Linked DNA regions of Oryctolagus cuniculus. The protein of the gene in region 6 interacts with the protein of the main gene of each other region in a biochemical or structural test. Links are inferred from orthologs where the notes say so. Each region holds a gene or a part of one and is shown on either strand. Other genes may lie near its edges. The genes, in order: SMURF2, ARHGAP35, CIT, PKN2, SMURF1, RHOA and ARHGAP32.

Evidence for each region.
Region 1: of the proteins of RHOA (region 6) and SMURF2, one has a biochemical effect on the other in vitro, tested with the Homo sapiens proteins (3 studies listed by BioGRID, with this or other methods). The link is inferred for Oryctolagus cuniculus from reciprocal best matches to the Homo sapiens genes RHOA and SMURF2.
Region 2: the proteins of RHOA (region 6) and ARHGAP35 form a complex in vitro, tested with the Homo sapiens proteins (3 studies listed by BioGRID). The link is inferred for Oryctolagus cuniculus from reciprocal best matches to the Homo sapiens genes RHOA and ARHGAP35.
Region 3: the proteins of RHOA (region 6) and CIT form a complex in vitro, tested with the Homo sapiens proteins (2 studies listed by BioGRID, with this or other methods). The link is inferred for Oryctolagus cuniculus from reciprocal best matches to the Homo sapiens genes RHOA and CIT.
Region 4: the proteins of RHOA (region 6) and PKN2 form a complex in vitro, tested with the Homo sapiens proteins (2 studies listed by BioGRID, with this or other methods). The link is inferred for Oryctolagus cuniculus from reciprocal best matches to the Homo sapiens genes RHOA and PKN2.
Region 5: the proteins of RHOA (region 6) and SMURF1 form a complex in vitro, tested with the Homo sapiens proteins (2 studies listed by BioGRID and IntAct, with this or other methods). The link is inferred for Oryctolagus cuniculus from reciprocal best matches to the Homo sapiens genes RHOA and SMURF1.
Region 7: of the proteins of RHOA (region 6) and ARHGAP32, one has a biochemical effect on the other in vitro, tested with the Homo sapiens proteins (3 studies listed by BioGRID). The link is inferred for Oryctolagus cuniculus from reciprocal best matches to the Homo sapiens genes RHOA and ARHGAP32.

Annotation. Positions count from the first base shown.
Region 1 is NC_091448.1:14,185,699-14,189,270, forward strand, and holds part of SMURF2 (E3 ubiquitin-protein ligase SMURF2), read left to right. Parts: intron 1-998; coding exon 999-1,200; intron 1,201-2,436; coding exon 2,437-2,512; intron 2,513-2,831; coding exon 2,832-2,931; 3' UTR 2,932-3,572. UniProt on the Homo sapiens protein: E3 ubiquitin-protein ligase which accepts ubiquitin from an E2 ubiquitin-conjugating enzyme in the form of a thioester and then directly transfers the ubiquitin to targeted substrates.
Region 2 is NC_091449.1:10,575,223-10,579,606, reverse strand, and holds the start of ARHGAP35 (rho GTPase-activating protein 35), read left to right. Parts: upstream 1-1,543; 5' UTR 1,544-1,839; intron 1,840-2,720; exon of another isoform or gene 2,721-2,860; intron 2,861-4,384.
Region 3 is NC_091452.1:15,912,165-15,916,002, reverse strand, and holds part of CIT (citron Rho-interacting kinase), read left to right. Parts: intron 1-3,189; coding exon 3,190-3,331; intron 3,332-3,838. UniProt on the Homo sapiens protein: Plays a role in cytokinesis. Required for KIF14 localization to the central spindle and midbody. Putative RHO/RAC effector that binds to the GTP-bound forms of RHO and RAC1. It probably binds p21 with a tighter specificity in vivo.
Region 4 is NC_091438.1:82,155,422-82,159,259, reverse strand, and holds the end of PKN2 (serine/threonine-protein kinase N2), read left to right. Parts: intron 1-52; coding exon 53-160; intron 161-370; coding exon 371-451; intron 452-537; coding exon 538-741; 3' UTR 742-3,444; downstream 3,445-3,838. UniProt on the Homo sapiens protein: PKC-related serine/threonine-protein kinase and Rho/Rac effector protein that participates in specific signal transduction responses in the cell.
Region 5 is NC_091450.1:41,317,335-41,321,172, reverse strand, and holds part of SMURF1 (E3 ubiquitin-protein ligase SMURF1), read left to right. Parts: intron 1-430; coding exon 431-469; intron 470-1,516; coding exon 1,517-1,625; intron 1,626-2,723; coding exon 2,724-2,857; intron 2,858-2,983; coding exon 2,984-3,049; intron 3,050-3,838. UniProt on the Homo sapiens protein: E3 ubiquitin-protein ligase that acts as a negative regulator of BMP signaling pathway. Mediates ubiquitination and degradation of SMAD1 and SMAD5, 2 receptor-regulated SMADs specific for the BMP pathway.
Region 6 is NC_091441.1:99,830,633-99,835,260, reverse strand, and holds the start of RHOA (transforming protein RhoA), read right to left. Parts: upstream 2,804-4,628; 5' UTR 2,527-2,803; intron 1-2,526. Other genes in the region: TCTA (T-cell leukemia translocation-altered gene protein), read left to right, coding at 3,133-3,355, 3,686-3,740. UniProt on the Homo sapiens protein: Small GTPase which cycles between an active GTP-bound and an inactive GDP-bound state.
Region 7 is NC_091432.1:122,787,995-122,792,469, reverse strand, and holds the start of ARHGAP32 (rho GTPase-activating protein 32), read left to right. Parts: upstream 1-1,617; 5' UTR 1,618-1,751; coding exon 1,752-1,867; intron 1,868-4,475. UniProt on the Homo sapiens protein: GTPase-activating protein (GAP) promoting GTP hydrolysis on RHOA, CDC42 and RAC1 small GTPases. May be involved in the differentiation of neuronal cells during the formation of neurite extensions.

The DNA.
Region 1 (3,572 bases), on a different chromosome or scaffold from region 6:
GTATCTTTTGTGTTAGAAATATGCCCATAATCTTTTTTGGATAATATCCTCTCTGCAAGTATGGCTTAGATTCAGTAATCTTTTTAGGACCCTAGAGTAGCTTTGTGGAGATTTTGTTTAGTGGCATTAGGATTTATTATATAGTTTGTACTGCTAATGAAATCCTTGAAGTTTTAAGAAGAAAAAAAAGTGTTTTTTAGTGTGGTACTCTAATGAGATTAATTATATAAAATCTAGGATTTACAAGTTATATTTTATTCCACACACTATTGTGATTCAGTGTCATAAACAGGTTGGATTAGCTAGATGAGTTGGTCTTGGACCCTATGAACCCTAATGTGAACATTAATAGTATCAAAGTGATTTTGAAATTGTTCATCTGTACTGACCCTGCATTAGGCTGCCAAGCAGAGCTCTGTGTTCCTGTATTTTGTGTTTAATATCATTTCAAGATTATTAAGCACATTGTATAACCACTTGTTCAAAATACATTCTTTGAGTTGCTGGCACTACAGGTTGCTTTCCCAGGGGTTAGTAAAACAGATGCTACTCCCTCCCTATGACAGCAGAGAGAGGACTGCTGGCTGAGGGAATGAGCTGAGTTGCCCCAAATCACAAAGCTAGTAAGTGTTGAAAAGGAAAACAAATGTTAATTATACTCTTTGGTTCTCATTTTTTGTCCACTTAAAAAACTTCAGAATTCTATTATGAAATTAGAACCACAGAGGTGGTTCTGACCCTGTGGAGGAACCTACAGTAAGTAGGTACCTCTGGAGCTTTTTAAAATATAAATCTTCTCACAGTGGATGCCCAGAAATAAACCCTCTAAGATAGGGCCTGGTGTGTACTTCGAAAAGCTTCCCAGATGATGGTGATGTTACCTTTGATTAAGAACAAGCAAATAAGAACCAACACTACGAATCTATAGTTCTGTATTGAGGAATTTGGGGCATGGCTTTGGTTTCCACTGGCTGATGACTTGTGCAATATTTTGACAGCTCATTATTTGCGGACTTGGAAAGATAGATGTTAATGACTGGAAGGTAAACACCAGGTTGAAACACTGCACACCAGACAGCAATGTGGTCAAGTGGTTCTGGAAAGCTGTGGAATTTTTTGATGAAGAGCGACGAGCGCGATTACTTCAGTTTGTGACAGGGTCATCCAGAGTGCCTCTCCAGGGCTTCAAAGCGTTACAGGGTAAAAAGCCTGGGGACGGACAGGCCACATGGTATCACCCTTGGGGTGGGGTGGGGTGGGGTGGAGGTGTCAGTGTTTGGTTTATATGAATATTTTACAAACCATGTGTTTATGAACAGATTGTCTTTTCACTCTGTTTCTTACCTGCAACTTTCACATCATGATACCTTCTTCTCCTTCCTCTCTCTTGTTCCCCTCCCAAGAGCCTTTTCTGCGGGGTTCTCTGTGATTGTAGTGAGTGCCGCACGTTAGAGATCGCACTGTACGTGGTGATGCTCTGCCTTTCATTTTCTGGCCACCGTGCTGTTAATTCTGTTGCACATTCTTGTATGGGAAGTTGTCCACTTTCATCTTTACATCTCAACTTGGCAAAACATCTACCCACCTGGATGCCTCTCTTGTCTCCTTTTTATTCTTTTAATAGAAAGAGACAGCATGAGTCATAGAACCCATCTGTTTGGTCAGAGCACTTAAATTATTGCATGGCATTCAATCATTTATTTACAACCATATTCCATTTTTAAGAATTGCTTCCTTGGAATAGCTGTTTAATTTTTGGATGAACTGGTAATATTGCTAGAAACTGTGGTGCATCCTGGGTGGCAGCTACTTCCTTTACCTCATAAGCCCTTCATTTTCAAAGCTAATGCCACTGCTGGTGATGCGTGAAGAAACACAAGGTGGGTACATGCCTCAGCAGTGCCCCCTGCAGTGGGAGCGTTGAAGTCCCTGGGCAAAGCCTACTGAGCTGTGCCTCCCTTCCCTATTCGGAGAGCTGTCGGACTGTCCAGATGCATAAGAGAGGCTGCGTTTCTCCTGCACTCGGTGTGGGTTTCTGTGTTAACTGGAATTGATTGTATAGGCTGTTAACCTGTGCTGTCAGCCCAGTTTGAATCATGAAATTAAATTTGCATTAGGTTGCCATTTTCTGAATGTGTGCCTATGTATGTTATTTTGAAATTCTTATACTGATTTTCTATAAACGATGACAAAGGCATTTCAATTCTGAACTTTTTCTGAGATTGAAATGCTAGCATATTCAGGAATCCAGCCGTATCCAAGGGCAATTCCAGCTTTCAAAATCCAGATTCTTCCCTGCTGCCGTTGGTAGCATGTGTGGATTTGCCAGCCTTTCCCTTGCCCTAGACCCTGTGGTTTGTGGACCAGTTTCAGGCTGAGACTCGAGAGGCTGTGCGCGGGCCTGCAGCGATGTGACCCACATTTCCTCATTCGCAGGTGCTGCGGGCCCGCGGCTCTTCACCATTCACCAGATTGATGCCTGCACCAACAATCTGCCAAAAGCCCACACTTGGTGAGTTATTTTTGTAGCTTCTGCCCCTTCCCCCAACTCCATATACATAGGTGTTAGTTCACATAGATTTGATTTTTCATTATTTTTATTATTGGTAAATGAATTTTTAAAAGGATAAGCAACTCTTTTAAATAATTTGAAAGTTAAGATTATTCAAAAATTAGTGGGAAAAGCCCAAAGTGGTAATCTCTATTTTAGAGAAAGTACAACCTTTACATTTTCTGCATGACACAGAGTGATATGGCTGTTACCAGTGTATTTGCCAGACCAGTTTACTTATTTTGAATGAACTTTATAAATCTGATTTGCTTATTCACAGCTTCAATCGAATAGACATTCCGCCCTATGAAAGCTATGAAAAGCTCTATGAAAAGCTGCTAACAGCCATCGAAGAAACATGTGGATTTGCTGTGGAATGATGAGCTTCAAGGACTTACCCAGAACTCTATTTATATCCCTGCCGACAGCCTCCTTTCAGCAGAATTTCAAAGAATGCTGAAATACAGGAAAACATCCCCATCCCCCCCTTAAATTTTTTTAGGACACTGTGAGGGGAAAGGACAATTTTGAAATTCCTTTTCAAGGAATAAAAGGTCTTTATGCTTTGCCATGAGGCCACATTCAGCTGCTATTTAAAATTAATATCTTGAACTAAAGAATGCTGACTTTTCCTACATTTCCAGAGTTAGGCAGTATTCTACACTTTAAAGACTACTACTATTTTTATAAAAGGTAATCTATTCAAATTGCTTCACAGAGTTCACGTTTCTCAAACATCAAGACAACTTCAGCAGTCGGTACAAGTCCCATTTCATTTTGATTGAATACATGATTTTGAACAGCTCCTGTACTTCTTTGTAAAAAAAAAATAATAAAATTATTTTGAATTATTCTACCTTTGTAAACAACTGGCTAAAAGGATCATTATCTTTAAGAAATTAAGCCATTTACATGTTTAATTATGTTTTTCTATAACAGAGCATTATATTTTGCATTATATGTTTCAGCCTAGCTTAAGTGGGTTGTTTTTATATTTTTTAAGCATGAATTTCCTGGAATA
Region 2 (4,384 bases), on a different chromosome or scaffold from region 6:
TGTAGATAAAGACATTCATTTGAGGTTGGGGTGTCTCTCCTGTTCCCCGCTTTCTATGTTCCCTCAAGTGATCTCAAAATCACCGATGTTTGCAAAGACAGCCTGGGCGCCTGACTGGCAGCCCAAAACGTCTTTACAAAAGTTTTTAAAAGTCATATGTAAAAATCAGACTAGATGCATTAAAAGTGCTAAACTGAAGAAAAACGTTCATGGGAAAAATCTTTGATCAGAAGAGCTTTATTGAATGGGACGTTCTAGAATTCGACTCCACGTCATTTTACGTAGTAGAGCACTGAACTTCGTGCGTGGCGTGAGTTTTAGCATTTTTTAAGTATAAGGAGTTCCCCCTTATCCGCAACATGAGTGCTGGGCTTCCCAGAGAGATTACACTCACGTAACTTGAGAGAGAGACCTCTTCATGCATTCCACAGAGGCTGACTCGGCGGCGCCGGGAAAGCCCCTCTCCCACCATCCCACCCCTGCTTCCGCACGAATCCCAGAGGGACCCCTTCTCGGTTCGGGGGACTCAAAGGTGACGGCGGCGGCCCCTCCCATCGCTGCCTCCCCTCCAGCGTCCGTAACGCCGGCTGCCTTCCAGCCATTTGCCCGGCGCTGGGCTGGCGGGCAAGGAGGCACGCCGAGCCAGGCCGGGCCGCCTTCCTCGTCCCAGGGACCCGGCCCACCTCGGGGTCAAGAGCAAGTCGGGCCGCCACGCGGGTCGCAGGCGCAGGTCCCCCGGCGCAGAGCACGCGCTCCGCAGCCCCGCCCCTTCTTCCGGGACGACGAATCGCCAGGCTCGGATTGGGCTGCGGCGGGCCACGCCTCCTCGCGCTGCCCAATCAACTCCCTCCCTGGGTGCGCTCCCTCCTCCCCGGCCCCGCCCCACCGCCCCACGTTACGTCGCCCCCTCTCTCTCTTCCTCCGTTATCCCGGGGGCCGCGGCTAGCGCGGCAAGCCCACCTCCCCGTGCCTCCCATTGGCTACCTAGGTCCCGCGCGAGCGGGATCGCGCCCTTTGCCCCCGCCTCCAGAGCCAGGCCATGCCTCTCCGCTCCAGTTTTCTCCTAGAGACCGCGCGAGGCTGCGGGGGGCGGCAGCGGCTGCTCCCGGCGCGCGCAAGGACGCGCGCTCCCACGGCGGGCCACGCCCTCCGCCTCGCGCCGGCCTCGGGCAGCCCCTTCCGCGCACGCGCACTCGCTCGCCCCGCTCCCTCAGCCCGTTCGCGGGTCTCCTCGCGCTCGGTGTCGCCGCCGCCGCCGCAGTCGCAGGAGCGGCATTTCCTCGGGGCGCAGGCGCACTGCACCGCCCGCTCCCAGTCCCAGACCGCAGCGGGCGCGCAGGCGCTCTCGCGGCTCCCGCTGCCTCGCGCCGGTTATCCGCACCGCCCCTCCCGCGGCGCGCGCCCAGGGGCCGTTATCCCCCTGCAGCGGTCCCGCGCCGCGCACGCGCAGTCCTGAGGCGGGGGGGTGCGTGTGTGTGTGTGTGTGCGCGCGCGCGGGCGCGGCGGCCGCAGGAAGGAGGCGCCGCCGCCGCCGCCATTGCGAGGGAGGAGGGAGGGAGGGAGCGAGCGAGGCTGGTCCGCCCTCCCCCTGGTTCCCGCCCCTCCCCCCTTCCCCTCCCCGCCCCCCGCCCCGAGGGAGAGCCGCGGCGCGGCGGGAGGAGGAGGTGGAGGAGGCGGAGGAGGGAGCCCGCGAGGGAGGGTCCGCCCGGCCCCCCGCCGCCGGAGCCGCCGCCGCCGCCGCAGCCGCCGCTGGACGAGGAGCAGGGGAACATGGCGCCGGGGCCGCCGTCGCCGCGGCCGGGATCCCCGAGGCCGGGGCCGCGCTGAGGGCGCAGGCTGGTGAGTGCGCGAGCTCGCGGGCCCCGGGCGGCGAGGCCGGGCGCCGCCCCGCTGCGGGGTCCAGGGGGAGGCGGGGACGGCGGGGCCCGGAGCCCGCGAACAATGGAGGAGCCGGAGGGGGAGGGGAGGGAGCGGCCCCCCAGGTCCCCGGGCCCCGCCGGCCCCGCCGCGTCGCGCTCGGGCCCGGCCCGCAGGGCCCGCCTGCCCTTCGGACTCGCCCCTGTCCGCCCGGGGCCTGCTGTCCCCGCGTCTGCTCCCATCCCCAGCCCGTCGGGACCTGGTGTCTGCCTGGCCCCCCACCCCCGTCAGCCCTCCCTGCTCGCAGTTCCGCGCCTCCCCTCCCCTCCCCTGCCCCTCGGGGATGCCCTTGGCCGCTCCTGGCCTCCGCAGTGCCCTGGGGACCCACCTCCTCCCCGGTGACCCCTTGTGCATCCCTGCGTTCCGCTCCCCGATTCTGCTGCCACCACGCTGGGGCTCTGGCCCCGGCTCCTGGGTGGACCTGTCCGGTAGTCCTGCCTCCCGGTCTCTCGCGCCCCCAGGAGCTGTCCCTTGAGGACCTGCGGGTGCTTCTTGGAGATCCAGCCAACACCCCCGTTCGCGGGGGCACGGCTGCGCCCAGGTCTTCGCCTAGGACGTCCCTGCTCCTCCCCGGGGGCCCTGCAGCCCTTCGCGTCGGGCCCTCGTCTCCATCCCGGGGATGCTGCTGGCCGGGCCTCTGGCCCCGCAGCCCCTGCGTGCGCCGTGCTGGCCTGCTGCCCCGCTCAGCTTTTGCTCCAGACCTTTCTGCCTCCCTGCTCTGCCCCTCGCCCGACCTCGGTGCCTGCTGGGCCTCCTCCCCCTTCAAGGTGCCTGCCTGCCCTCTCTAACCAGCCGGAGCTCACCCCCAGTTCCCTCGCAGGTGTCCTCGTCCGCGCCTTCTTCTCGGGGCTCCTCTGAGCTGCCCTGCCGGCCGCTCCCTCTTTTTGGGACTGTCTCCCCTCCAGCCCTGCCCGGCCCGAGCCTGCTTCCTGCCGCCGCCTCCGCCCTGCCCCCTGACTGCTCCTGGACTTGCCCGGTGCCTCTGCCCCCGCCGCGTCCGCAGCTCCCAGGCCTGCATCTTCGCTCTGCGCCCATCCCCGGCCCCGGCCCCGGCCCCGGCCCGTGCGCCTGTGGGTAGCCGTCCTGTGGCCGTGCCCTGTTGGAGGGGTCCTCTCTAGCCGGTCTTCTGACAACTGCCTCCTATCCGTTCCCTCCGCGGTCCGCCCGACCTGCTGCCCCTCTGTGCCCACTGCTGCGGCCCTGGCCTCTCTGCTGGGACACTAAGCTGTCGTCTTAGCCGTTCCTTCCTCTGGGAGCCGCCTCAGCTCTTCGCTAGGTCACTCCCTCTCCATACCCCTCTCGCGGTCTGTGCCTCCGTGTCTCCTCGCCTTTCCCCCCTTTCCCCACCGCATCCTGCCTGGCTCCTTCTCTTCCCATCCAGTTCCTGTCGGACCTGCCTCTGCCGGCTCCCCACCCATGGCTCAGCATTGCCGGAGTGCTTCCCCTTTGCAGGCCTGGCGGGCTCTGGGCCCCAGCCCTCAGCTCTGAGGCTGACCTGACCCCCCCTCCCGGGGCTCTGTCCCCAGGATCCCCAGAGAGCCGGGTGAATAGGTTCCTGCTCCCTGGAGTCTGGAAGTGTCTCCACGGCTCCCACCTCTCCCGAGGCTAGTGGAGTGTCGGGAGTGGCTCGCACTCGGGCCTGGTTTCCTCTCCCCTTCCCATCCCTGGGCTTTGCAGCTTTGTGTCCCCTGGACTGCAGCTGCTCGCAGGTCCTTATCTCTCCTGGGCTGGGGCAGGGAGACACTTGCCCCAAGGCAGTCCTGCTGGGAGATCTTAGGAGTGTGCTTTTTTGTTTTTTTCCAGCTGACAAGTCGTGTTTCTGTTTTACCCCTAGCTGGGGAAATGCCAGTTCTCAAGTTCTCCTCAGTCCCTCGGGGCTATGGCCACACTTGGTGTTTACTGCTCTGGGCCTGCAGAAGCCACGGAGCCCTGGCTTCCCGGAGCCCTGGCTTCCCTGACGGCCTCCGCTTGGCCGGCTGACCTTGGGGGAGGGGCTCGGAGGAGGTGGGTTTCTTTCTTTTTCACCCCTGCCCCAGGAAGGCTCCAGCTTGCCGGTCTTCAGCCTGGTGCAGCCTGGTGAGGGCCTGGGTTTGCAAAGCTTTGCGGTTGTTTGTTGAAAGAGAGAGTGCCAAGTGTCACAGGGATTTCTGCCCCCTGGCACTGCAGGCGCTCCCAGCCACAGGAGCCGAGAGCCTCTGGCCAGATCCACAGGCTAATCCAGGGGCGCGGTGTGCAGGGGTGTGTGGGTGGGCCATGACGTTCCCCAAGCAAACCCTTTGGGTGACCTGGTTTGATGGCGTGGAGAGGGGTGCCGGGAGCTGGCTGATGGGGTGGATTTAGACTTCTTACCTGGGAACTGTGCCTTGTTACCTTTCATTGAGCTGTTCTCTTCAGTGGTCTGCTGGGGCTGGGGCTTAGGAAATCGATTGGGAGGTAGAGATGGTTTTGTAGAAAAGTCATCCAACCC
Region 3 (3,838 bases), on a different chromosome or scaffold from region 6:
GCTCCTGGCTCCCGGCTTCCGGCTGGCCCAGGCATAGCTCTTGCAGTCATTTGAGGAGTGAACCAGTAGTTGGCAGATCTCTTTCTCTGTACCACTCTGGCTTTCAAATAAATAAATACTTTAATCTTTGACCAAAGTTTCACAAATTGCTGGGCACACATAGATTTGCCACTTTATATTTTGCCAAATAAAGATAGAAAAGTAATAAAAAAGAAAAATCTATTATCTTCTGCCCTTTTATTTGATAAAGAAAGGACATTTTAGGCACACCAAGAGAGGAAGTACATCCTTTCAGCATAAAGGACCGTTTTAAAATTTAAATACATTTGGCTTTATAAAATAGATATGGTGTGGTGTTCATTTTTTTCTCATTTTACTGCAGGCTGTTGAAAACTTTGTTAAGAATCAGTGCTATATTTGGAAACTCCTGCTGTAGCTGATCTAAACTCATTGAAGAAGAGAAGAAACCAAGAATCTTATTTTTCTGAGTCAGTGGCAACTATTACCAAAGTGACAGGGTGACTTGTGACCCTGTGCTTGGAAAACCCACTGAAGTTTCAGTCTTTTGTGGGAACTGAATGATAAAAAAGATTCTAAGATATAATCTGGAGAATTCTATATTTTTTTAAAGACAATTTATTTGAAAGGCAGAGTCTCAGAGAGTGGGGGAGAGAAAGATCTTCCATCTGCTGGTTCACTCCCCAGATGGCTGCAGTAGCCAGATCTGAGCCAGGCTGAAGTGGGTGCAGGGACCCAAGCACTTGGACCATCTTCCATCATCTTCCCAGGCCGTTAGCAGAAGGCTGGATAAGAAGCTGAGCAGCTGAATTCTAACAGGCACTGTGCTATGGGAGGCTGTCAGTGCAGGTGGCTTAACTGCTGGGCCACAATGTGGGCCCCTGATGGGGAGAATTCTGATTCAGTAGGTAGGAAAGAGGACCAGAGAATCTGTGTGTGTGTGTGTGTGTGTGTGTGTGTGTGAAGTTCTCCAAATGTAACCAGTCTGCTTATGTTATCCAGTGTTGGATTAACAAACCACTCACAAAGCAGTAGTGATTTGTTTTTTCCTAGGATTCTGTGGGTTGGCTGGACGCACCTAGGTGCTCTAACGCCTCACCCTGAGGCATCTGTGGGGTCACTCCGGAGCCACACTTAGCTGTGATTGTGTTTGGGACTGGAACCTCTGGAAGCCCACTGCTGCCTGCGGCCCTCAGTCTTCCTCCTTGATGCCTCTCTGCTCCAGCGGGTCTCTCATCACTCAGTGTTCTTAGCCCAGAGCTTGTGTTTTTTTGTAGATAATAAATATTTTGGGCCGGTGCCGCGACTCAATAGGCTAATCCTCCGCCTGCGGCGCCAGCACACCGGGTTCTAGTCCCGGTCGGGGCGCTGGATTCTGTCCCGGTTGCCCCTCTTCCAGGCCAGCTCTCTGCTGTGGCCCGGGAAGGCAGTGGAGGATGGCCCAAGTGCTTGGGCCCTGCACCCCATGGGAGACCAGGAGAAGCACCTGGCTCCTGCCTTCGGATCAGCGTGGTGCACCGGCCGCAGTGGCCATTGCGGGGTGAACGAACAGCAAAAGGAAGACCTTTCTCTCTGTCTCTCTTTCTCTCTCACTGTCCACTCTGCCTGTCATAAATAAATAAATAAATAAATATTTTGGCTTTTCTGGATCATGTAGTTCTGCTTGCCACTACTCAGCTCTGCCGTTGGAGCACAGAAGCAGCCTTAAACAATGTGTAAATGAATGGGTGCAGCTGTATTCCAATAAAACTTTATTTATAAAGACATGCCGAGCTGGATTTGGCCCATGGGCTATAGTTTTCTGACTCCTGGTCTAGCTGAAGCTTCTTTCAGATTCCCAGAAAAGCCAAAGCAGATGGGGCCAGGCTTCCTAAGGGCTCTGCCCTGACCTGGCACATGGTCACTTTGGTGACGTTCTGATGACTGACACAAGTATCAGCACAGATTCAGGGGGAGGAGACATCTCCAGAACGGCGGAAGTGCTGCGGCCGTGTTTGCTGAGGGACTGTGCTGCAGTCCGTGGCCCAGCCCATGGAGTTCTAACTCCAGACCGGGGGCTGCAGGTGCATGTTGTCAGGGGCCCCGCAGACACGTGAGCCAGGTAGGAGCCTGGGAGTCAGGTCTTCGGTGAGCTCAGGGACACACCTGCTGCCAAGAGGGGAGCCGTGCCCAGTGTCGCCAGGCAGCCACGGGGATGGCGCTGTTGGGGACAGTGCTGTTAGAGCCACTGCTGTGGTGAGGGAAGCCAGACATTTCACTTTCATTTTTTTTATTTTGGTGAAATCTTCTGATTTTTAAATATTGGCAGATAATTCAAATTATTTAAAACACTACAGGCCAAACAAAACATGTCTGTGGGCTAGACACAGTCTGCCAGTTTGTAACTGTGGCTCCAAATCATGAATAAATTTGGCTTGATGATAGTCACTCCATCCACACTGTTTAGATGGTCCCAACGAATTCAAGAAACTGAAGTGATATCAACAAGCCTGTGGTCACACACAAAAGAAGTGACCATCATGGTTTCGCAGTGTGGACATGGGGTAACATGTCAGACCCAAGGGTCCAAGGAAACAGTACACGAACCTCAGACCATCAAGAATGAAGGACATTGTCTTTTTTTTTTTTTTTTAATTTTTGACAGGTAGAGTGGACAGTGAGAGACGAGAGAAAGGTCTTCCTTTTGCCGTTGGTTCACCCTCCAATGGCCGCCGTGGCCGGTGTGCTGTGCTGATCCGAAGCCAGGAGCCAGGTGCTTCTCCTGGTCTCCCATGCGGGTGCAGGGCCCAAGCACTTGGGCCATTGTTCTCTGCACTCCCTGGCCACAGCAGAGGGCTGGCCTGGAAGAGGGGCAACCGGGACAGAATCTGGTGCCCCGACCGGGACTAGAACCCGGTGTGCCGGCGCCGCAAGGTGGAGGATTAGCCTATTGAGCTGCGGCGCCGGCCCAGGACATTGTCTTATTAATGGGCTGCTTGTGGAGTTTGCTTCCCAAGCACTGGAGGCAGAAACCCATGCTAATGGCAGTGATCGACGTTGCCACGGAATTGTGCTGTGAGGGTGTCGTGATCAGTGAGCGAGTTGGTGGCTTGTAATTTACGCTGCGTGGATGTTATTGATCAAAGCTTATCATTATTGACAGTGCCTCCATCTGCTGCTTGCTGTTTTTAGGGGAAGCCACCCTTCATGACTCAGCAGCAGATGTCTCCTCTTTCCCGAGAAGGGATATTGGATGCCCTCTTTGTTCTCTTTGAAGAATGCAGTCAGCCTGCTCTCATGAAAATTAAGCACGTGAGCAACTTCGTCCGGAAGTGTAAGTTCGGGACCTTTTTCTTTCTTGGACACTGTCCCAGGAGAGAAAACGAGAAGGATGGGAAAGGCGGAGTGGGTTAGTGGTGGTGGTAGAGGGTAAGGACACTGGTCTAAACGAGACAGACCAGGTTCATGTTCACATTCAGGTTGCATCTGCTGTAGCTTAGAGACCAAGGCTTCTTGGTTACAAGCAACAGAAACTCAGTTTGAAGAATGAATGTATTTGGGCCATGAAACCGAGAAGTCCAGGAACGTCTGGTCCCAGGAACACACGGATCCTCCAACCCCATCCTTACACTCACCCAGGGCAGGCTTATCTTTAGGTACAATCAGCACAGTGCTTAGGGACCCCACAATATTTAATTTTAATGAATATAACTTGTTTTTAATTAGCTTCATTGATTCTGAATTATAGCTGTCTTGATAATGTTAAGTGTAACATTAAGCATAATTTTTGATTTTTTTTTTAAATGGGGGAAGGAGTTAACGAAGGGAAGAGCATCTAGGG
Region 4 (3,838 bases), on a different chromosome or scaffold from region 6:
AAGCACTCACCTCCTGAAACTCATTTTAACTTACTTAAAAATATTCTTCCAGTCTCCCTTTCCTGGTGATGATGAAGAGGAGGTTTTTGACAGTATTGTAAACGATGAAGTAAGATATCCAAGGTTCTTATCTACCGAAGCCATTTCCATAATGAGAAGGGTAAGAATTTTTTTTAAAAAGCTACTTAAATTATTTTTATAAAAGGAAATTCCTCAGTAGAACTTTGGAAGTTGGTTTTCAGCTCGTAGATGTTGCATGGTTTAGATAAACATTAAAAAATATCTAAATCTCTGGATGTTACAAGAATCCCTATCAATAAAGTTTACTTTATGGGTTTTATTTTAACATTTCCATGTTATATTGTGTTAGCTGTTAAGAAGAAATCCTGAGCGGCGCCTTGGAGCTGGTGAGAAAGATGCAGAGGATGTAAAAAAGCACCCATTTTTCAGGGTGAGTATGAAAGTTGAAAGTTTTGATAAAAGTAAAGCAATTGGGAATGGGAAACTAAACTGGTCATTTTATGTTTTGTAATCCAGCTAATTGATTGGAGTGCTCTGATGGACAAAAAAGTAAAGCCACCATTTGTACCTACTATCAGAGGACGAGAAGATGTTAGTAATTTTGATGATGAATTTACCTCAGAAGCACCTATTCTGACTCCACCTCGAGAACCAAGGATACTTTCAGAAGAGGAGCAAGAATTGTTCAGAGATTTTGACTACATTGCTGATTGGTGTTAAGTTACGAGACACTGTGAAACCAAGCGAACTGACTCACAAGAAGACCTCTTAAGAATAGCAACCCTTCATTTGCTCTCTGTGCCACCAATAGCTTCTGAGTTGTTTTTTAAAACACATGAAGATTTGTTTAAAAGTACTGTTTTAATACCTTCATGAAAAGTGGCTTCTCAAATTTTTTTTCTGAGCACTGGAAGCAGATTTGAGGAGTTTAAGCTGAAAGAACATTGGCCATGAAAATCCATCACAAATGAATACTTTTGGAACAATAGTCTATTTAAAAAGAAAGAAAGAAACCACTCTTTCATAGTCCCTAGCTTTGCCATATGCCTGCCTTAAGTGGAAAGAAGATTAATCACTTAACTTGTGTTTTACAAACAGAAAACAAAAATGGCTTGGAATGCTATTATTGTTCATACAAAGTATGATTATGTTTGAATAAGGCAAATGCTCTTATTTTTAAAAAATTACTATTATATCAAAAAATCTGTAGTGGCAATTTGTGCACATTTTGAGGCTTAATTTTTTTGAAAAACAAAATGAATTGATATCTTGTTTTATAAATTTTCTATATTTATTAGGAGAAAAATTTTTATTGCCTTACACTTTATCAACCATGTAGTAGAGCCTCATAGCTTTCCAACAGAGCTACTTGCCAAACAGTTTATTTTTTATTAAACAATGCTGAAACAATCAGCATTTCCTTAAATTGTTCAGAATAAGGACTTCTAATCAGCCTGAACCAAGATATACTCTTACCTCTATGCATTCCCGAAATCTAGACACCCGATTTATTCAGTCATATCTTCTTCCAGAATCAGTGAACTGACTACCCCTTTTTTGATACTTGTTCTGCATTTATCAGTCTAGTTCATCGTGTTCATGTGTCTGCTGTAGAAGGGAACTATATCATTGTTAAACCGTAGGATTATCATTGTATACATGCTGTGAACATGTATATGTACAAGTTGTAATGTATTCTATGTTGTAGGCTTATTATTTAATTTCACTACTTCATCACTTTTGTACAGTGGCCAAGCAGACACCTCAAACTCCAGCATTTACATTAAGTGCATTTGTACATTTTAGGCCACTGGATCCAGATTTTATATTGGCAGTTACTGAGGGCAAAAGCAATATATTGTAACAGAATGTATAAATATTTTTGATAAAACAGTCTATATTTTATAAAAATATTATAACACTAAAGCTGTACCTCAAAAGTCTCAAAAAAAATTGATCAAATACTTTTGACAACTCTTCAGAGGATCCGTTTGTGGCTTTTTTCACTCGTATAGGGATGTCTTTTTGTAAACCATGAATTTCCACTTGCTTGGAGGTGTTTTGTTTTTTTTTTTTTTTTTTGGTTTTTTGGTTTGGTTTGGTTTGGTTTTGGATTTTTTACTCTTACTTCATGATTTCATTGTTTCTTTTGTTCAGTAACAACATCTTTGATCCTGTGCTTAGCATGTTAGGGTCTTTATACCTCAGGAATATCTACCTGTTAATTAACCATATTGGATTAATCATTTAATCACAGCGGACTCATCTGTTAAAAAATTATTCAGTTTAATCTTGTGAGAAACATGAAAGCACAGGGAGTTGAGCTAAAAACATTTACAAATATTTCAACTTTGTTTGAATGCGTTGGTGTGTTTTTAATTGTACTCTGTGAACAATTAAAATTGTCCAGAGATACTTCCTATTACCTTCAAAATTGATTATTACCCAAGATCCTGTGGGAGAATATCTTGTAGGAAGAAGAGCAATATGTTGATTAAAGTTATTTTAAAATGCCAGTTAACTTCCTTGGCAAAAGACAGTAGAGGAATTTAGCATAATTGGCTTAAATTTAAACAGTATTAACATTAAAATACTCATAAGACACTAAATACTTTTGAGGTACAGTCTGCTCACCTTTGCTGGTTCTCAAATATGCATAGAAAGCAAAGTCTAAAATAGGCTTTTAGCATTAAAAACTGACATAACATTTTGTAACTACACAGTGTACAGAAATTTTTTTAAAAATTGAAGTCAATCACTAAGAAAATTAGAGGGCAGGGTATATTCACACAATTAAGCTGAAGAAAGCACTAATTTTTTCTGTAGTTTTTAAAATATATATATTTTAGATTTAAAATTTTAAGCTCTATAGAGTGTAAATATATTTTGCTATTACTGTATGTGTATGTGACTGCTCAAGCACTTTGTAAGGAAATTAGGATATTTTAGAATGGTACACTATGCATTCAAATGAAATGTGCCTTTAACTCTGTCATTCTAAGAAAAAAGTGTTTGCAGTCATAAATTTCCCACAAGTGCACAAATTAAATAGATGGAATTTGTAACTTTGGTTTTAAGTATTATTTCCTTTTAGAAACTTCCTGGTGATTAAATATGTGTTAGATTTATTATGTTCAAAATGGCAAAGATTGATTACCTTAAATTTGCCTTCTCACAAGTACTTTCTTGTCCTGGGAAAGGCTTTAAAACCATGAAAATTCAAAACAAATTGTCCATTTTCACTGGGAACAATGGAGAAAATTTGTATTTTATTTTTGTAAAGCAATTAGCATCTTTCATTTGATGGATATTTATGGAATAACCATGTAGCTAGACTCTGAGTATAAGAAGGTGGAAAAAAGAAAGCAACAAGTGATTATGAATGAAGAACAGCTTGCAATAATATAAAATTCAAGTACCAAATACTGTATGTGGTTTTCTGTTGAGATTAAATATTTAAATTTTGGGCCCCATTTTCTAGAAAATAGGCAAGTGACTAAAACAGAATGCCAGCCATTCAGTAGTCATCTTTTTTAAAAAATGTGAATGGAAAATTTTAGAAAATAAAATGATCCATATTCTCCCTTTAAAGCAAATTGAAGATAGAATGAAAATTGTTATTCTTCTTTGACTTAGTAAAAGATGCCTTCAAATCTAATAGGATTTTTGCAGGTATTGCCCATGTTCCTAAACAACTGAGAGAATGAATATGGGAAACGCAAAGGAACAAATGCCAATCCATGGATCATCTTACTGTTAGAATTCCTATTTATCTTCCAGTCATCCTTTAAAATCTAGTGTTTCTCTCTGAGATACT
Region 5 (3,838 bases), on a different chromosome or scaffold from region 6:
GGCGCCATACTTTCCACCACTCTCCCCTTGCGTCCTCTCCTGCATCCCAGAGTGTACATTTACGGTTACAGAATCGGGTTATTAGGACAGCAAAGATGCACAGTGCATTTGTTCGCTATGAAAATAAAATACTCTGGTCTTTATTTGAAGGCTTTTTTAGGTACACCTGTGTGATTTCACAGAGGCCGTCTGTGAAGGTGTTTCAGTGAGATTGTAAATTCAACCTAAAGTCTTTCCTATTGGTGATGGCCAGTCCCCAGCTTGAGGAGAAAGAGTTGCCGAAGTTTTGTTTCGTGTGCTCCTGAATTTGAGAAAATGAACAGTTGGCAAAGTTCATCTCTAGGACTTTTCCCCTTATTGCAGATGTAGATGACCTCTGGGGAGAATCTTGTCTGTAAATGCTAACCCTCGTATTTTTTCTCATTTTCAGTGTTATGTGCCAAGAACCTTGCAAAGAAGGACTTCTTCCGTAAGTAAACACCGATTTTTGCCCTCTTACATTATTCTTCATGTGTTTCTGAAACTTTACACTTTTTAAAAACCCACTGGGTGCGTTCTCCAGTCTCGCTCTTCCCTGGGTGGAGATCATGGTTTGACAGGTGTCATTTCCCAGGTGACCGCAGCCTAGGGGCCGCCTCCTCAAAGGCTCCGAGCTGCCGAGTGGCACCGAGAAACCTGTCCCGCTGCCAGGCCAGCCACACCCGGGCGCCTCTGCTTCCCCGCCTTGTGGGACCTTGCTCTCTGCTGGCTGAAGTGTTCTCAGCTCAGATAAAAACGGGAAGACTTTTCTAAAAAAACAGCTGCGAGTGTCCACCACAGTTAAGAATTTCACTCGCACTGTGAAAGCCCTGTCGTTAAAGGGGTTATAAAAACAGAAATCTTTTCTGAAGCAAGGAACGCTCCGCTCCTTAACGGAGGGGTGGGGCCTGCAGGCCCTGAGTTCACGCAGCTCTGGTCTCCCAGTGAGGGGCTCAGCTCTCGCGGGGTGTGAGTGAAGACACTTAGGCTCCAAGGCTTCATCCAAGGAGCTGGGAAGCTCGGGTGGTGGCTCTCCTCTAGGTCCGGCTCAAACCCTCCACCTCGCCACCCGTCTGATCCCATAACCCTGCCCGATTCATCCTCCAGTGCTTAGGAATGTGCCCGAGTAAGAGGGAGTACTTGCGTCCAGCGGTGAGACAAAGACCATCCACGGGAATTCTGGGAGCTACTATAGTCTTAGAATAAATGCAATTTATTAGAAACTCTTTCCTCTCTCTGCATGTAGCCCCCACTATACAATCAGTACGCATGGAAAGTGAAAAGTTGAAGTGAACCCTGTTTTATAGTTTCTGTCCTCTTCGATGTGGAGTATGAAGGCATACCGGTTTGTCCCACTTAGAAAACAAAATAGAAATGACTGACTTCACCACTGGGAGCTCATCTTAGCTTGGAGGCTGACAGGCACAGGGGTCCCCATCCTGCGGCTGGCTGCGCGTCCCTCAGCCAGGCGTGGGCGTGGCTGTCCTCTCTCCTCCAGGGCTCCCGGACCCCTTTGCGAAGATCGTCGTGGACGGGTCTGGCCAGTGCCACTCCACCGACACCGTGAAAAACACGCTGGACCCAAAGTGGAACCAGCATTACGACCTGTGAGTGCCGCGCTCCGCAGCCGTCTGGGGTGCCGCGGGGGGCGGGGGAGGGGGAGCTCGCTTCTTCAAGAGAAGCCCTGAGAGATTGACGATGACCAATGTGAATCGCCTCAGTTTCGGGTTCATGTGCGTGGATGTTTTTGCCTTCGGTGTTTCATCGGTTTCTGTGGTCTGGCTTTGTAGCAGTGCCCCTTGTCCTTCTCAATCTCCTTGGCATTTATCAGGAAAAAGAAAAAAAGCCCTAGTTCCTGTCCCTTGCATGCTACACTGTCGCCTCAGGGGACTGTTGAACACTGTAGCGTTTCCCTAAAAGACATGATGATTGTATAGATCTGCTGAATTTTTAGACGCTTTTTCTTTTTAAGGAATATCTATCTTGTGCAGGAAGAAATAGTTTTGCATGATTGAGTTATATAATTCAATATATGAATTCTGGGTACTACTATAGTCTTAGAACCATCAGGCAAATTTTTACGTTCATTTAAAAAAAAAAAAGGAGTGCGCTTTGCAGCCCACTGTGTTATGTGCACCCTTGCTAAGAAGTTTCGGTCCGAGTGATACTGAATGGTAGTGTTACAATCGTCAGTAACACGTGTTGTGTGGCGATAGGACTTTCAGGGGTTACAGCCTGAGCCTGGGTCAGTGACGCCACGCTGCCATTAGTGGCTTGAGAAGCGGTTGTCAATTTCTGTCCTCAAAGCTCCTCTCTCTGGTCGGCGTGCCCTGAGACCCGCTGGAGACTGAATGTCTTAGTATTCTTTTGTGTCCTCTGAATGGCTGTGTGGGTTTACAAGGAGTCCCTTGATGCAACCCAGTGCTGTGTGTGAAGCCTAGTTGGTGGGGTTTATGAGCCCGTCGCCACCCTGGGGCGCTGTTACCGTGGACTCAATCTCCGGTCTGAGGTTCCGATCGCCACGTGGTCATCTACGTTTGCCCCTGCGTTGGCGCGCCGCCCTCGCTCAGCCCGCTGACGTTGCTGGGTGTGTCTGTGCACGTGCGCGGGTCGGGGGAGAGCCAGTGTTCCTTTGCAATAAGATGGGATGTCGCGAGAAGGCCTCTCTCAGAAGCCCTGTGAAGCAGCGAGCCTGGTCTTTGCAGGTACGTGGGGAAATCGGACTCCATAACCATCAGCGTGTGGAACCACAAGAAGATTCACAAGAAGCAGGGCGCCGGCTTCCTGGGCTGCGTGCGGCTGCTCTCCAACGCCGTCAGCCGGCTGAAAGACACCGGATGTAAGGACCCAGAGCCTCTCGGTGCTGGCGGAGGACGCGTCGGGGCGTCGGCCGAGTGCGGGACTCCCGCCTCCCTCCTCCCTCGTTGCCTTTGCCTGGGTTAAGGTCTGAATTGTGTGTTTGCAGATCAGCGTTTGGATCTATGCAAACTAAATCCCTCCGACACTGACGCAGTTCGTGGCCAAATAGTGGGTAAGAGCTTTCTCATCTGTATGGAGACGCTTTGACCGGTCAGTTCCTCACCCGTGACGAGCTGGCCACACGCGGGCCACCCCTGCAGTCCCTGCCCCTCCCCCCTGCCATTCCAAGTTGCAGAAAGAGACAGGGTTGGACTTCTAAATGTCGCTCTGATCGTTACTGGACACTTTGTGCTACTCAAGGTAGCTGATGAGAACGGTGGCCGCACACACGAGAGAGCTGGGCTGCGGTGTCTCCGTCCTGTGTACACAAGGCAAAGGCCATGGGGAAGAATTCCGTGTGGCGCTATTTACAGTCAGCGGGCTGCCCTGCTGGGAGGGAGCCACTCACGTGGGCTGATGCCCCCAGGCTGGAGGCCTCGGTTGAAGGGAGCTATCTGTGAAGTGGCTCTGAGTGTCTCAGTGTTGACTGTGGCTTTGCAGGGAATCAGGGGCAGCCGCAGGAGTACCGCGACTCCGCGGTCTCCAGGCGCCGTCTCAAGTAGCCTTGACCCGAGATAAGCGGACAGTAGGTCAGCACGCTGGGAACCGTCACAGCAAAAAAGTTAGTTCCCACTGCGTTTCTTCTTGCCGTTTCTCCTGGCCTGTGCGGAGTGCTGGGGGAAGTGAACAGCTGGACGCAGCCTCTGTCTTTAGCGTTTGTATCAGACAGAGAATTAACCCTTAGATCCAGCCAGACCTTGCAGGGAGCGGAAGAGCTCTTGCTGTCAGATCCTGAAAGTTACGGTCACTGTCACTGCTGTTTATGGAGAGCATAAGAAATACAGCGTCCTCTCCCGCCCCG
Region 6 (4,628 bases):
TGTCCTGGCTGCTCCACTTCTGATCCAGCTCCCTGCTAATGTGCCTGGGAAGGCAGTGGAGGATGGTTCAAGTGCTTAGGCCCCTGCCACCCACCAGGGAGACCTGGACAGAGTTCTAGGCTTCCCACTTTGGTCCAGCCCCACCCCAGACGTTTTAGCCATTTGGGAAGCCAACCAGCAGATGGAAGATTTCTTTTTCTAACTCTGCCTTGCAAATACATAAATATGTATTTTTAAAATCTTAAAAAAAAATAAAGACAATTAAGAAGACCCAAAGTAGCAACTAACCACTTGCATATCACCCTATCGACAACACACACCTAAGATCTGCCCGTTTTTACTTTCCTAATAACTCACGCCCCCATATACCTAGGATAAACTTTTAAAACTTAACTGGCTGACAGCATAGGAACCAAAACTATGAAAATACTCTAACAAAAACCACCACAACACACATGTGCACAGGGGACTGTTACCCTGATATGTACAGTTCCTTCCTCAGCCTGCCCCTATCAGGAGTCAGCAAAAGAGCCCGCAGTTGTCTGAAAACATCTCAGCCTGACCTCATTAGGCTGGTTCTGGAGCAGCCAGGCCTGGGCCTCTCTCCGGAAATTGGTCGCTTGAGACCCAAACACCTAAAGCCAGGAATAGGCAGCCAAGGACCTTGCAGGTATATTCAGGTATTTCTCACAAGTGACTGCAGCGGAACCATCCCGTTACGGAGAGTGCTGTGACAGCTAAGGAACTGAAATTTGGCTGGCAAATCAATTTTCACATTCTCCCAATCTATGTAAAGTCAGCAAGGTATAAAAGAAAAAACGGTAGAGTAAGTCCCAAAGTTTAGCTGACTCTAGTCCAGCTGTTTGGGAGTGTATTTGAGAATATCCTGCAGAGCAAACAGTTCTGGCCTGCTTCTAGCTAGATAATACCAGTATGATCCTGCTTAATTAAGTCTCTGGGACTCAGTTTCCTCATCTGCAGATGTGATTGGACTACATGATTTTAATTCATTTTAGTACTAGGTCTATGAAGATAATTGATCGATGTTATAATCCTACTCTATTCTCTCCAGTACAGATTTTTATGAGGACAGTAAACCTAGTACTAGACTTTGACTAAAACCAAGTTCCATCTTACATATTTTATGTCCCCAAGAGCCATAAAGTGCTCTACAAAAGTAGATGGAACTAACCTAAACCTAACCTAAACTTTTAGAATTGATTTGGACTTGATGGACTGCTATAGACAACACATTGGGTCCAACTGCATTATGGCTACTAGTGACAATGACAAGTGGCATAGACTCACAGGAGTCTAAAATTCACCTTAGATTTGTAGTTTTAAAGGGTCTCTAGAAATTTATCAAGAGATGCTTCAATTAAGGACTAGTCTTTGTAAGTTTCAGCCCAAACAATGTCATTTGTGCCACATACAACATCTCCACCAACCCAGCCTGGGTGTGTGACACTAAGTGGCTGAAAAAGTCTCACCATATACACCATTTTAAAATATGGAGGTTTGGGGCTTTGACATTTTTTTCCCCTTCAGATTTGGCAGAGAGGAATCTAATCTGATTGCACACCTGCAAGACACATTTACTTCAAAAGATCGTCTTAAAGGCAGAAATAACCGAACAAGTGACCAACAGAGTCTAACATTTTGAGAACAGGACTACTAGGAAACACAACAGGAAGCAACACGGAGGTAAAAAGGATGCAAGCTTCCACCAGAAATGACAAAACACTGCATTTAACGAAATCGACCTGGGGGCAAACAATGCTATTTAATGCAGACACCCTGTAACTGTGTATCCTATCCAAAACCAGGGGCAGATGTTTAGGTGAGTCCCAATAAAAGGCAGCAACTTCCACAGGCAAAACTACCTGCATTTTAATGCAACGTTGTTTAAATCATTAAAAATTTTCAACTGGAAAACACCCTTTTCCGCCCCAATTCAGGCAGCAGTCCTAAGACCTCAACACAAGCTTTTTTACTTAAGACTCTCTCCAAGCATACCGCATCAAAAAAAAAAAAAAAAGGCAAATCTATTCAAAGCACAGCCGGACTTCTGCATAAAACGGTGATTCATGTGCTACAGCAGATGGAAAAGGTAAAATGGAGTTGTAAAGAGTTTCTCTCCCGTTTCAACTCCGACAGCCACGAGCGCTCTGCGGCTGCCGGCTGCGCCGCGCCGCGCGGCCAGGAGCCCCCGCCCAGCCCCGCGCGGCCGTGAGAGAGGAAGCTCCGGGGCGGGCGGGCGGCTGGGGCTCCAGCAGGCCCGGCCGGGCGGGGGAAGGGGCGCTGGAGGCGGCGGGGCGCGCTTCCGGGGCCGGCGCGGGCGGGGCCGCGGGAGCGGGGCGCGGGCCCCGGGCTGGAGTGAGGGTCAGGGGCCGGGGGCGGCCGGGCGGGAGCAGCAGGTGGGGCGCGGCCGCGGCGGGGCGGCGGGGCGGCGGGCGGGCGGGCGGCCGGAAAAGTGCCGGGCGGGCGGGCGGGCCCGGGGCGCCAGGAGGGGATCCTCCCGCTCACCTCGGGCGACGACTCCGAGTCCGGCCTCTTCGCGCCGAGGACGCCTGTCCGCGAGTCGCAAGCTCGGAGACGAGGGCGGGTAGCTGAGGCGGCGACGGCGGACTACCGAGAGAACCGACGGAGGACGGCGGGTGGCGGGCGGGGAGCGCGAGCGAGCGAGGGCGGGCGGCGGCGGGAGGGCGGGGAGCGACGTGCGCGTCCCCGAGCGCCCAGCGGGCTCGAGCCGGCCCTGGTCGCGGCCCCGCGCGCGCGCGCACACTCACATCTCAGCCACGATAGCTCAGGCGCGCGTCCACGCCCTAAAAGCAAGACGCTCAACCAATCATTACAGCCGCGTGGGGCATCACGGGAACTCTGGGGCTATAAAAGACCCGGTTGCTATTTTATACTCCGGGAGTCACTCATGCTTTAAGGGAGTAGGGTGGGGCTAAGTGCGCGTGCGCGGTTTTAATACTCCTCCCTAAACTGCCAACTCTTCGCCCAAGCGAGGTAGGCCCGCCCTGCCTGGTTCTACGCGTGCGCACTAACGGGCCTAGCCCCGGAAGACCTTACGCCTGCGCGGTGTGCACTACGGTGACAGTACCCCGGGTGGGGCGCGGGCCGGTCATGGCGGAGTCTTGGTCTGGACAGTCTTTGCAGGCTCTGCCGGCCACGGTGCTAGGCGCGCTGGGCGCGCTGGGCAGCGAGTTTCTGCGGGAGTGGGAGGCGCAGGACATGCGTGTGACCCTCTTCAAACTGCTGCTGCTGTGGTTGGTGTTAAGTCTCCTGGGCATCCAGCTGGCGTGGGGGTTCTACGGGAACACGGTGACCGGGTTGTATCACCGCCCAGGTGAGGCTCCCTATGAACCTCCGTGAGCTGGCCGCCCCCGCCCCCACCAGACTGAACCATTGGGTTCCTCAGAATCCCCCTAGACTACCAGAAGTCCACCAAGATCGTCAGAACTTAGTATTTTACCCTGACCTATGCTATCATACCGTATCATTTTATGCCAGAATCCCCACCGCTCCGCCCATCACGTTGTAACTGATCTCTAGAACCGTCACCAGACTCAGGACCCCTGGCAGATTCCACTAGCGGCCCCTACCCTGAATTGGGCTGATGCTTGCCCAGATCCCCACCCCCAGTCTACTGCAGCTCTGGCTGTGTTCCTGCCTTCAGGTCTGGGCGGCCAGAATGGATCCACACCTGATGGCTCCACACATTTCCCTTCGTGGTGAGTAGATCCGTCCCCCATCCCAGCCCCATGCATGGCAGGCAGAGAACACGCCCGTGCTGGTGATGGGGTGGGTAGTTGTCAGGGCACAAATCCAGCAGCACAGTGGCCTTGGCAGCAAGCTTCAGGTCTGCATGTAGAGGTCAGGGTTTAGGCTGGGCTGACACCAAGGTCTGGAAAGTCCATCAGCACTTGAGCTGTCCGGGGGTGGGGGGGTGGTACTGTCATAATTTCAGAAAGATGAACTAACAGATCTTCTGGATCCCACTCCCTGTAAGCCTCAGTTGGGAAGGCAGGAGCCGCTGTACTTAGCCCACCAACTGACCTCACTAGGGTCATTTATAAAACTAATCTCTGATGGGGGCTATGGAAGACCCAGAAAACAATGACAACCCAGGCCCTGCTCACAGCAGGAGCCAGAGATGTCTTTCTTTTTTTTTTTTTTTTTTTAAGATTTATTTATTTGTTTGAAAGGCAGAGTTAGAGAGAGGGAGAGAGAGAGAGATCCTCCATCTGCTGGTTCACTCCCCAAACAGCCACAATGGCCAGAGCTGTGCTGATCCAAAGCCAGGAGCCAAGAGCCTCCTCCGTGTTTCCCCCTTGGGTGCAGGGGCCCGAGGACTTGGGCCATCTTCCACTGCTTTCCCAAGTGCAATAGCAGGGATCTGGATCAGAAGTGGAGCAGCTGGGACATGACCCGGTGCCCATATGGGATGCCAGTGCTGCAGGTGTCAGCTTTACCCACTGCATCATAGCACCAGCCCTGAGAGCCAGAGATTTTTTTTTAACATATATTTTTTATTTTTATTTTTTTAAAGACTTATTTACTTTACTCGGAAGGCACAGTCACAGAGAGGCAGAGACAGAGAAAGAGAAGTCTTCCACCCG
Region 7 (4,475 bases), on a different chromosome or scaffold from region 6:
TGATAGCTGCCAACATGGCCATTTTTTAAGTACCAGTTATGTTGTTGACAGGGTCATAGATGCTATAATTTTTTTTAAAGATTTATTTATGTATTTGAAAGACAGAATTACAGAGAGAGAGAGAGAGAGAGAGGTCTTCCATATCCTGGTTCACTCCCCAGATGGCCTCAATGGCCGGAGCTGCCCTGATCTGAAACCAGGAGCCAGGAGCTTTCCTCCAGGTCTCCCACAGGGGTGCAGGGGCCCAAGGACTTGGGGCATCTTCCATTGCTTTCTCAGGCCATAGCAGAGAGCTGTATCAGAAGTGGAGCAGCTGGGACTCAAACCAGTGCCCATATGGGATGCTGGCACTGCAGGCAGCGGCTTTACCTGCTATGCCACAGTACCAGCCCCAGATGCTATACTTTTCATTCATTTCCCAGAAGATATTTTATTGACACCGTGGATGTATACAGTTGAATTCTGTAACTGTCAGCATTTTCCATCTTGTGACAATTTAATTTTTCTTTTTAAAAATATTTATTATTTAAGTGCAGAATAATAAAAATTGAGAGAGTGAGAAAGAGAGAGAAATCTTATATATATTTGTTCATCTCTCAAATGGCTGCAACAACCAGGTGTGGGCCAGGCTGAAGCCAGGAGCCAGGAACTCCGGCCTGTCTTCCACATGGGTGACAGGGACCCAAGTACTGGGGGCCATCTTCCACTGCTTTCGCAGGCACATTGGCAGGAAATTAGACTGAAATGGAGTAGTTCAGCAAGCTGTGGCTTAACCAGCCGCACCACAGTACTGGTCATAGGCAAGCCTGGCTTTTCCATTTTGCTGCGGCTCCCTGAGCCAAGGTCTGCGTGGCTGCAGTACTGAACAGCAGAAGAGAAGGTGTCAGCATTCCAGGGCATGGAGCTGGGCAAGTCCCTAGGCCATTCCTGTTTTTTCTGTTAATTGTGATCCTCTTACGCTACCTGTAACATGCCTGTCATTGTGCTTAGCCCTGGAAACCTTTATCAGTAGTGTTATGTTTCTGGTTTTCTCTTTACTTTTCCCAAGTTTGAGATCACAAAAAGCTACAAATAGAGAAAAGTCTACTTTTTGGAAAATACCTATTATGAATTTAAATGGAAATTTTGAAAAAGGAAAGATAGTATTCCAAAAGTAATTAGGGGCTGGTGGTGTGATACAGTAGGTAAAGCTGCCTCCTGAGACACTGGCGTTCCAGATAGGCACTGGTTCGTGTCCCAGCTGCTCTACTTCTAATCCAGCTCCCTGCTAATGGCCTGGGAAAAGCAATGGAAGATGGCTCAAGTGGTTGGGCCTCTGCCACCCATGTGGGAGATCTGGCTTTGGCCTGGGTCAGTGCTGGCCTTTGCAGCCATCTGGGAGGCAAACCAGTAGATGGAAGACTCTCTCTCCCTCTCTCTTTATCCCTCTCTGTAATTCTTTCAAAATAAATAAATAATTTTTAAAAGAAGTAATTAGTGCAAAATCACCTTCATATGGACTCTGCTTTTGATTATGTAGGTCAGGGAGCCTAGGGCAGTGGGAGGGCCCAAGGTATCACAGGTGGGGCAGTCAGACGCAGTGAATGTGTTGCCTGTGGTTTCCTGTCTGTGCCCCAGCTGTCATTAAACCAGTACCATCTCTTGCCAGCAGAGTACCTGCCACACACCTGAGTGTGCGTACATCGCTGAACAGCCTGGACACTGGTGCTGTTTCTCCCATGCCTTGAGGATTCCACTTTTTAAGATACAAGATGGACACTGAAAGTGAGAGTAGCATTTCGGGGGATGACAGTGTATTTTGTTTGGATTCAGCAGTCAGGACCCAGGTGACTGACAGTGAGGAGGGAGAAAAGGAAGAGAATTTCAGGTAATTATGGAATTTGAGATTCCCCGAATCTCAGCCTTTGTCCCTCCATGTTCCCTGCCCCCCTCCCCCCCTTCTGTGTTTCCAACTCTTTTGCTTTGCGTCTTTCTGAGGGGGTGGTCGGGGGTGGGGAGGTTTCAGCTGAAGCAGACAGGTTTCGAGTTGGATGTGGCACTCTTCATTCCACAACTTGCCCTGAGCTTGTAAAATATGTTTTAACTGACTTGTTAGAACACCAGGAAGAGAAGGTGTTAGGCAGGTTCTGCAGTAGCATTTCAGGAATTTCAAGTGGCGACTCACAATGAACTGCTACCCTTCCTGTATCTGATTTCTATCTGATAGATTTGATCTGAATTTGGATGTAATAGATTTTTCTTCCTCTTTTTCTTGGAATGGGTTCTAGGGTATGTGGTGTATTTGTCTGTCTGCCTGTTTTGGTTGCCTTATGCAGGTGTTTGAAAAATTTTAATTAAGAACAAATTGGTTATTTTGTGGCTTTTACTTTGTGATCTTTACTCTTGTCTGTGTCTTTAACAGCTCACCCCACCCGCCTCCAATCTCTCTTGGTTATTGCATCTGTAACAGTAGCTTCATAACTGAAGTTTATAGAGGGTACCTGCCGAGTGGCTGAGTGACTGGGGAAGGACGGTAACTCACCCAACTTGTGGAGAGAGGATCAGTGGTGTACTAAGTCTGCTGTACTCTTAGGGATTTCAGGAAACTTTATTTTGACGTTTCTTTTTCATGCAGTGTTAACAATTTAACATTTTCGGAGGCATTAAAAATATCTTTGTGAAGTTTAAAGTTTGTATTATATTTTATCATTGCCACCCACATGTGCAATTAAACATCTGATAATTTCACCTTTGACTGCTTGGGTATGCTGCTTGAGCATACCATTTTTATCAGATATTGTCTTCATGCTGAATGTTCAAAAAGAATATATACATATTCTTCATGCATAGATTTTATTTTTCATTTTTTATAGGTTCAGTGACAGGAAGGATTCCATATTAGGAACACTTGATAACTTATACTGAATTTGTTAACTGGGGTTTAAACTAAATGAGAAGTATATCTAAAAATTTAAAAGAATAATTTAATGTTCAAGTATGAAAGTGAAATACTTTATTTGGATATGATTGGTTTTTTCCCCCACAACTTTCTTGTTCTCTCATTTTTTATTTAGCCTTGCTGGTTTGAATAAATTTCATTTCTCCCAGGGTATGCTAATGTTACATGTACGCTTAGTTTTCAGCATGGTCAGTGTCACAGGAACAGTGAGTGGGAATACAATATTTGTTTTGTTTGTGTTGAATTGGTTTGTTTTGGTATTAAACTTGTGTAAGTTATTTGGGGGTTTTTGTCCATGGAAGAAACAATTTACTTTGTTGTTGCTGTTGTAATAGGTTTGGTATCTAAAAAACTTAGATCTATTTGTTAGGTGATAGATGTCTCTGGGACCCTCTTTGGACAGTTAAAAACAAATGTTCTTTTCTGAGGAATATGTGACAGCAGTTTTTATTCTGAGAACTGTCTTAGTGTATACATTGTTTTAGGAGATCATGAGACTATTGGACGTTTGTTCTTTCTCTGTTTACAATTACATTTCCTATCTGAATATCACTATGGCCCTCCCAAACTAAATAAGATTTTGAGATTTGATCTTAAGTATTCACAAATGCAACAAAGAGATGTGGATAAGGGCCAATATCATGTAGTGTTTCTCACCTATTCAGCAGTGCGGCATGAGGAAACATGGCAGCAGAGTGCTTTCACAACATCCCGGCTCATTCCTGTGAAATGCCTAGCAGAAAAAATGTGTGTGTGGGCGTGGAAGGTGAAGGGTTGGATAGGAGGAGTTGCGGCTGTGACCTTGGGAGAACCAAACAGTAGATTCAGTGTTATAGGAGACTTGATCTTGTGAAAATAATAATTTTTAAAAAATGTACAAATAAATCTTCATCCTATCTAGTTTTTTAAAAAATCCATGCTATTACATATGAAACCAAAAATGTTGTTATGGTTATGTTTCCGCAAGTGCACAACAGACAATAAAATGAGGACAGAAGATTATACAGTGACCTTTTTCTCTGAATAGTTTCTATGTTAGATTTTACGTTTACTCTCAAAAGAATAGCATCGTCTCACTTGGCACCATGGCTGAGTGAGGTCCTATTTTATCTAGAATGCAGTTTCTGGTGGTTCCAACAAGCACCTGAGTTAGGGAGAAGTGCTCTCGGATAGGAGCTAGTATCTGTCTAGTAGCAATTGGAGTATCCTTCGTTTTTGGATTTGGTTGGTAGAAAGGATACTCTTTCTTAGATTCTAGCACTATAGGATGTTGCACAATCTGTTTCAGGGAAGTAGTTCAAACTTGTGCACCCTTGACTCACAAATCTCTCATATGAAGATTTCTCATTTGTAGTATGAAGGTAATAATCTGGGTGGTTATCTACCTTATCACCATGGTAAAATTGCTGTTACACTTCAATATTTAGAGACCTTCAGAGTGTTTTGAATGGTCCTTAGTGATCATTAACAGAATCTTGTGATTAACAAGGAGAAATATAAGGTAGAAAAGGAAAAATAAATTTTTGAATTCCAACAC